2 linked regions of the Lepisosteus oculatus genome follow. The protein of the gene in region 2 purifies or fractionates together with the protein of the main gene of each other region. This does not show direct contact. Links are inferred from orthologs where the notes say so. Each region holds a gene or a part of one and is shown on either strand. Other genes may lie near its edges.

Region 1 (3,751 bases), on a different chromosome or scaffold from region 2:
GTTAAGCTACATTGCTTTAAAGGCGTATACTGATTTACAACATATCGCAATACATGTCATATTCTGTAAATCAGTTATATTTGTATTTGCAGATGCTAATTATAGTTTCTTTCAAATGTTTCATGACAATGCAGATTACACAGATACCTGTGATTCTAACCCTGGATGGACATAAGAGAAAGATTAAACGTTTTTCATAATTTGAATTTATTTTGTAATATGTACCCCCTGACGATGTTTTTGTCGTAAAATGTTATATGTACGCTTGTTTGTATTGTATTTGTTGTTATTGTTTATGCATAAATAAATAAAGACAAGAGAATGATAACCAACTGCTGGTAATATGGTGCTCTGCGGATCACGTGATTCTACACAAGGCCCGTACTTTACGGTCTTATAAACCCCAGCAACTTTAGCAAAGACACTTATCTGACAAGACCATGGCGATTTTCTATAAGCTGAGGGTCTGTAGAATAGATATGAGGTATTTTTGAAGAGGCACAAATTTGTGTTTGGTCGGGAGGTGGGTGAGACCGCTCCCTGTCCATCAGTGCACGGTCTCAGTCTGGGGATGGGAGGTGCTCTACAGACCCCAGCAGTTTTGACAGAGACACTTGTCTGACAAAAACAAGGTGATTTTCTATCAGCTGAGGGTCTGTGCAATAGATTGCATCCACCTTTGGAGAGGCACAAATTTTCCCCATCCAATTCTGCACTGCAGTTTTTCTAGAGGTGATCCACCCAGACCAACAATATTAATAAAAACTTAAAACGGAATGAAGAAGGGTGATTTGCTATTGACTGACTGTCTTAACATTGTATGTTTCACCACTTTTGATTGTGCACAAAATGTTTTTGTCCCTGGTTATAGTTTAAAAAAATGATTGAATTTAAATATAATAAAGGATTTTATTTAATTACAAATTTCAGATACAACTCCTTTAAAAGCTTGCATCTTAAAACCTTTTTCATTGAACAGAAACATTTTTATGAAAAAAAAATATAGCAGTATATTACAGTAGTAGAAAGGGGCTGTAAAATTAATACAAACTTCTAATAATCTTAGATTTGTCAAACTTGGAGATAAGTGGAGGCGATTTAAAATTTAAAAAAGGACTCTCTCAAATTAACCATGACGAAATAAAGCAGGTGTTTCAGCTGCTTGTCACTTCGCTTAATGTTGCTTTACTCCTCAAAAGCTGCTGTGGTAGCTGAAAGTCTTTTATTTTGATTGAAATTCGGCTATTGACATACACTTCCGGGTCATTCGTGTCGCTTAGTGTAGCCAGCTTCACGCTACTTCCACGTGGTTGGGTGATTTTCCTCGCCTCTCATTGTCGTCGCGGCTTTTCTACGTCATTTCTCGTTCTCTCCCTTTGATACCTTGTGGCTGTGAATAGGAGCTGAAAGGAGCCACACGGTTATTTCTGTTAATACGATCTCAGATTCCCTTCCCTATTTGTCTGAAAATAGAATGTCTTCTCTCCTCAAAGTGGACAATGAAATCAAAACTAAGGTAAGAGACGGTAATCCGAGAAAGACTGACGCGAGGGGGATGTGGTGTTGAAATTTGAACAGTCGGAAATTTTTCTGTAACACAAGGCCGGGGTATTAAATAAGTGCCTAGCATAATCGCCTGGCTTTCCCGCGCTGTGCTTCACAGATATAGTCATAATTGCTCTGCGTATGTCGATTTATATGGAATTATCTGAAGTTAAAACAGGATATTTCCGTATATTCCGATATTTCCAATAGTATTGCCCCTTCTTTCATTCTGGCCGGAGGTGCGTGTCTGCTGCTGTCGAAATTAAGGCGTTTGTGGTTGAGTCTTTTCCATAATGTGAAATAATAGTATGATCGTAGCGCCTGTAATGCACAATAAATTCAGTGCGATTTGGCCTGCGTTTGGAATTCGTGTTTTTTGACACGTGTCCTGTTTATTGTTTTGAGTGAATGTCCGGGTCCAATCCCAAGAGCTGTGTCAAAGAATAAAAACGATCGTAAACATTTTTGCTGTCCCTTCAACAGCTACTTCCTTGGAGCCGGATATCTTGGGTGTTTATCTTATTCGAAATCTATATCTTCAGAGTCGCACGGCGCATGTGCTCATATATTTATATAAAAACTGAGTGACAAAACAATTCGGTTCAGGAGACAGTCCCGATGAAGCTACAGACAGCGAAAACGAATGAAAAATCTTGCACCCAGTAGATATATTGGCCAGCATCATGTTCACGTGTTATTGCATTTGTGCTGTATTCTGTTTCAAGCGTAATCTTACGTTACTGTATTAAATGCACAGCCTTGGCAATGTTCTACACAGACGGGTAACGTTTCAGTCTTTGACAGTCTAGTTGTGGACCCCGATTTACGTTTACTCTTTCTACAGGTTGATGCTTTCAGAGAACGAATCACCGGTGAAGTAAGTACTTTTGCTTTCAAATTAAAACGATTCTTTTAACGTAAATAAAAAACTAAGTTGTACTGTACTTAGAGCTCGCATTTCCCAATGTTTACTTTTCTAGGCAGAAGACTTAGTCGCAAATTTCTTTCCAAAGAAGTTACTGGAACTCGATCATTTTCTTAAGGTAAGTCTTTCGATTTTTACCGTTATGTTTGCGCGGTTTTCGTTGTGTAAGAGCTCCTATCCACAGCTGAGGAGACCTGGAAGAAGACGAATTGCGTTTAAACTGCACTTTCCTTGTTAGTGGTTCCCAGAGCACTTTATTCACCTTTGAAAAGCAAATCACCAATCAGTTGTGGTGAGAATTACTCCAGACGTTTAGCCATGCTGGATCATGCAAGCCCAGAATGGGATTTAGTCAAGATGCTTGCTTAACATACCAATTCTGGAAAAACTGTTTCAAGGGATCTTTTAACAACCAAATAATCAGGACATTAGTTCAATCTCATCTGAAATCATTGTACAGCACGGTATTCCCTGTCCCCATAGTGGGGCTCTTCAATTAGTAATTCTGTCTTCAACAGAAGATTGCCCCCTGCTGGTTCACCTACACGACTTGCTGTTCATTGTGCTGAAATCAACGCTTACTACACCCTAGCCAGACCTTTGGGTCGGAGAGCTGATGGGATGGCAATAATACCGCAGAGGAGAAAAATAACCACCTTCGTGCAGATCGAAGTTCTGGAGAGGGTGTAAGCCCCCTCCGTGTAGCCAGATATCTACGTCCGAGAGAGGCTTAAAAAGGTCACCGCACTCCCAGAACCATGAATTGTACTGGGTGAAGTTAATTAACATTTCTAAGTTAGCAGCCTTACGTCTTGGGCACCACAGCAGTGCTGGAATCAATGTGTGAATCAAGCTAGAATTGAGTTCAGTAACGTGGAGCCTCACATTTTCTGGAGTTACTGAAGAGATTTAAGGTCTGGTGCTTGGTTTGAACGATCACTGCCGAGTACGTGACCAATGCTGTGTGACTGTCATATGGTGAGCGAATAGAGCTTTACCCCTTGCTCAGCCGAACGGGAGAGAGAAATGTTTCTCTGTTGCCTTGTGGTTATTTCCTCAAGAAGGGAACTAACGAAAAATGTTAAAAAGCAGATATGCTTGGGGGGAAAGGACTTGTGTTTTCTGTTTTGACGAAGGAACAGTTAAAGCCTAATGAGGTCTTAAAACAAGCTGAGGTCTCTGAGCTCAAGGACTAATCATCACTCCTTGGATGTTAAAGGAAAGGATAAAGTTACGTGTCTCCAAGGCTGGTGGTTTGACAGGACTCTTCAGATGAAGGCT
Region 2 (3,751 bases):
ATTTATCTTCAAGTTTGTAAGCAGTGATCATCATGTTTTGTTTAGTTTTTTTGTACAGCAAGTACAAAACGTTATTTTTACGTGAGATCTGAATTTCACCTCCATGTATGAGTGTAACTTGACTAGCGTCATTACTTGTACATTACTTTAAAAAATAAAATGCTGACTTTTTTCAGTTTTCATTTTATTTACCTGTAATTCAATGCTTTGTTTTTATACCTTACATAAAACTTAATAACTGTATAGTAAAAAATAAAATACAAATGGCATACATGTACTGTAACCTTTTAATCAAAACAACATCATAGGTGGAGACTGATATCTTACCTTTCTGATGGTATAATGTTTAAAAAATCATTACAAATTTATATTAAACTACATTCAGGGTATATGTATAAGCTACACTATGAAATGTAAATGGATATCTTGTTTAGACTTGGGTCCCATCCCCAAGCTGTCCCATTTTATAGATGCAAATATAACAATATTCCGAAATCCGAAATCCGCAACACGTTCGGTCCCAGGAATTTCGGATAAGGGATTCTCAACCTGTAATAGGTTTATTCCCTGCTGAAAAGAGAAGAAAGAAAACACAACGTTTCTTCAGGTGTGAGCTATGTGACCTGACACGAGAAGAAGGCTCCACAGCCGAAACGTTGTATTTTCTTTCTTCTCTTTTCAGCAGGGAATAAACCTATTTGTTCCTTTACACTAGAATGGTCCTGACTGCGTCAAAGTCTAACCAGTCACAGCCAAAAAAATTTTAAGTCGTTACTTAGCCTTTGATAGGGGGAAACAACAATACTGAGCATTATTCTCCCACATTTCCCAACATTACGTCTTTCATACAGCTGCTCTCCCGTCACAGACGCTCATAGGGCAACAGCGCTGAAAACAGCTACTCTGTTCATTGGCTGTTTTAGATCACGTGTTTGAAGGCGAAACTCGGGTCGCATGCCAATGACGCATTACATCGCGCTGGGGTCTATATTTGCTGTGTAATAATAGAGTTAGGCCGGTTCTGACAGACGCCGGGAAGAGAGAAATTGTTAAATACCGAGGGTTGTTTACGGACAGAAAGCGGAGCCTGAGGTATCAGCATGGAATATCTGATCGGAATCCAAGGACCCGATTTCGTCCTGGTGGCCGCTGACACCGTGGCGGCCAGCAGCATCATTCAGATGAAACACGGTGAGGGCGGCCCGTGTGCCGGCGATTTCGGGTTTCTGCGGGTCTGTCTCTCAGAGGTCTGCGACGTCCCCTCAGTTCTGCCGTCAGTTTTGGGCTAAACCAAAACTGAGGTGCTTTTAGATGAGTGGGTTCTCGTACTCAGCTTTCAAATAAGCTTTTGAAGTTGTGAGTCTCTAGATACAAAATAAATCTGTTTGTGCTTTACTGTTCGTGCTTCAGTTTCGGGTTCACTGCAACTAGTCTCTAATCTACAGTCCCGTCACGATGTGGTGTCTCTGGCTTTCCTGGAGTCCCTGAACCGCCTTCTGGACTCGGAACAGCGGCAGTAGATTCGGGGGGTCCAGGATACGTTTGTGTTAAATGGCGCGGCGGGTTCCGCACAAGGCAGAGACAAACTGAACACGTCTCCTGTTGCTGAGCAGGACAGGGCCGGCAGGGTAGCGGTGCAGCTGGGTGCCTGCCCGCGAGGCGTCACTCAGCAGCGAAGTGAAAGCGGACAGATCGCTTCCACAGCGACTCTCCCTGCTCCTGAAAGATGAAGGAGCAGCTGTAGTAAGACCACGCGTGGCTGTATGCGTGTTTCTGGCGGGCAGGCTGTACGTCTGGGTCTACCTGTAATTTATTTTTTTTCCCGCGAAACAGTTTCTGGACTTTGAGAGAGTTAGCTGGAGGTTCTGGACACGGAAGAATACGCAGAGTGGTGGGTGAATACAGGGCTCAGCGGAGAGGGGCGCTGCTGAGCACCCCGACACATGGAGACAGTCCAGCCCCGCGCAGACAGGTGGAGGGGAATATCTCCCTGAGTGGATGACACGCCTCATGGCAACATGGGGATGTATTTATACATGTAAAGGCTGCAAGACTGACGTCTGTGTGTTCTCCTCCAGACTACGACAAAATGTTCAAGCTGAGTGAGAAGATCCTGCTGCTGTGTGTGGGCGAGGCGGGCGACACGGTGCAGTTTGCTGAGTACATCCAGAAGAATGTGCAGCTGTACAAGATGAGAAATGGTGAGACACGCCCCCTGTCTGCAGGACTGCAGCCTCCTCTCTTACCCCCCCAGCCTTCAGTGTCGTCTCATAGCCACATCAATACAGAACAGTGTTCCGTGGCTGTGATAGACTGTTTCATCGCCGAGCACTTCTACAAGTGCAGCCCCTCTCCCTTTGACATATAATCTGCTTCCTGCACTGTCTAGAGGTTATGGTCCAATCTGTAAAAAGTATATCGTACAATATTTACGAACCATATTTATTGCTTGTTCAGCAGGTATTGTACCAAATGAAATTATTTGTACTTTGCATTGCACCAGAAGCAGTGAGATGTACTGTACAGCTCAGTTTCTACTTTAAATATGTAGTCTGTTTGTGTGTTTAAATACTCCACATGTTATTTCTAACATTTTGTAGTTGGCAAACTAAATGCTAAAAACTATATACACAAAGCCCAAAACCAGTTATAAAACATGCAGTTATAGATTATATTATTTGTGCAAAAGCAGGCTTCTGTAAAAGCTTTGGTGTGACCCTGTGTTTTTAAAAAACATGTTGATACTTTCTTCCTGGGACCCCAGATAATGATGATGGATTGTATTAGAATCCACTGCAGCACCTTGTCACAGTGCAGTGGTCATGTTCCATGTGCATACAAATTGAGTGCACCAGATCTTAGGGCAAGTAATTGCTTTGATCGTAACTGAGTGTTGATTCCTTCCGTCTCTCTGTCCCAGGTTATGAGCTCAGTCCGGCAGCTGCAGCAAACTTCACCCGGAAGAACCTGGCGGATTACCTGCGGAGCCGGGTCAGTTTCTGCGGGGGGCCCTGTGTCTGCTGGCCGTGATGTGTTGTGGTAGCTGGTGCATCACATTAACCAGTCAGATCCAGTTGACTTGTCGTCCATTGTTCCTCACAAGTGACACCATGCATCTGCTTCCTTCTGCAGATCCATCTAGTCAAGAGAATGAGTCTTGTACTGCAAAACACTGATATTTATGGGTTAACTGTCATCTTAAAATCACTAAAATGTTGGAGGTCAACTTAGAATTGTATTTTTAAGTAAAGTTCTTACTAAAAAAATGGAGAGAAATGTACATTGTCTAAGTCTTAGGTACACAGCTGTGTAAGAGTCAGTAGTGCTTTGCCAGCGTTGAGCTGTTCAGGGCTTTCAGCTGTAGAAAATTGCAAATATGGGATCAGTGAATACTACAGGGATCTGTATTTGGAACACTGCGATTTTTAATTTATGTAACTATGTCTAGATAATGGATTAGTTAGTAGTTTATAGGTTACCTGCAGATAACAGGATTAGCAACCACTATGTTTATACTTGGCCAACTAAATTCAGAAAGACTTCCTGAAAAATTCTGGACAGGCAGCAACACCAGACAGGTTGCATTTAATGTAAGCATGTGCAGTGTGTTGCATGCAAGTAGCAGGTAGGAGAATAAATATCAGAAGGGGAATCTCTGAGCTACACAAAGGTACCTAATGGAGAAGACCTGTGTGTTTGTTTACAGATCTTTTGCATCTTCAAGACACTGTGGGGAAGAAACATAAACTTT

Evidence for each region.
Region 1: the proteins of psmb2 (region 2) and psme3 fractionate together in Homo sapiens (co-fractionation; 3 studies listed by BioGRID and IntAct, with this or other methods). This does not show direct contact. The link is inferred for Lepisosteus oculatus from reciprocal best matches to the Homo sapiens genes PSMB2 and PSME3.

Annotation. Positions count from the first base shown.
Region 1 is NC_090723.1:3,612,695-3,616,445, forward strand, and holds the start of psme3 (proteasome activator complex subunit 3), read left to right. Parts: upstream 1-1,432; 5' UTR 1,433-1,474; coding exon 1,475-1,516; intron 1,517-2,389; coding exon 2,390-2,422; intron 2,423-2,525; coding exon 2,526-2,588; intron 2,589-3,751. UniProt on the Homo sapiens protein: Subunit of the 11S REG-gamma (also called PA28-gamma) proteasome regulator, a doughnut-shaped homoheptamer which associates with the proteasome. 11S REG-gamma activates the trypsin-like catalytic subunit of the proteasome but inhibits the chymotrypsin-like and postglutamyl-preferring (PGPH) subunits.
Region 2 is NC_090706.1:198,204-201,954, forward strand, and holds the start of psmb2 (proteasome subunit beta type-2), read left to right. Parts: upstream 1-948; 5' UTR 949-1,100; coding exon 1,101-1,191; intron 1,192-2,078; coding exon 2,079-2,201; intron 2,202-2,920; coding exon 2,921-2,991; intron 2,992-3,751. UniProt on the Homo sapiens protein: Non-catalytic component of the 20S core proteasome complex involved in the proteolytic degradation of most intracellular proteins. This complex plays numerous essential roles within the cell by associating with different regulatory particles.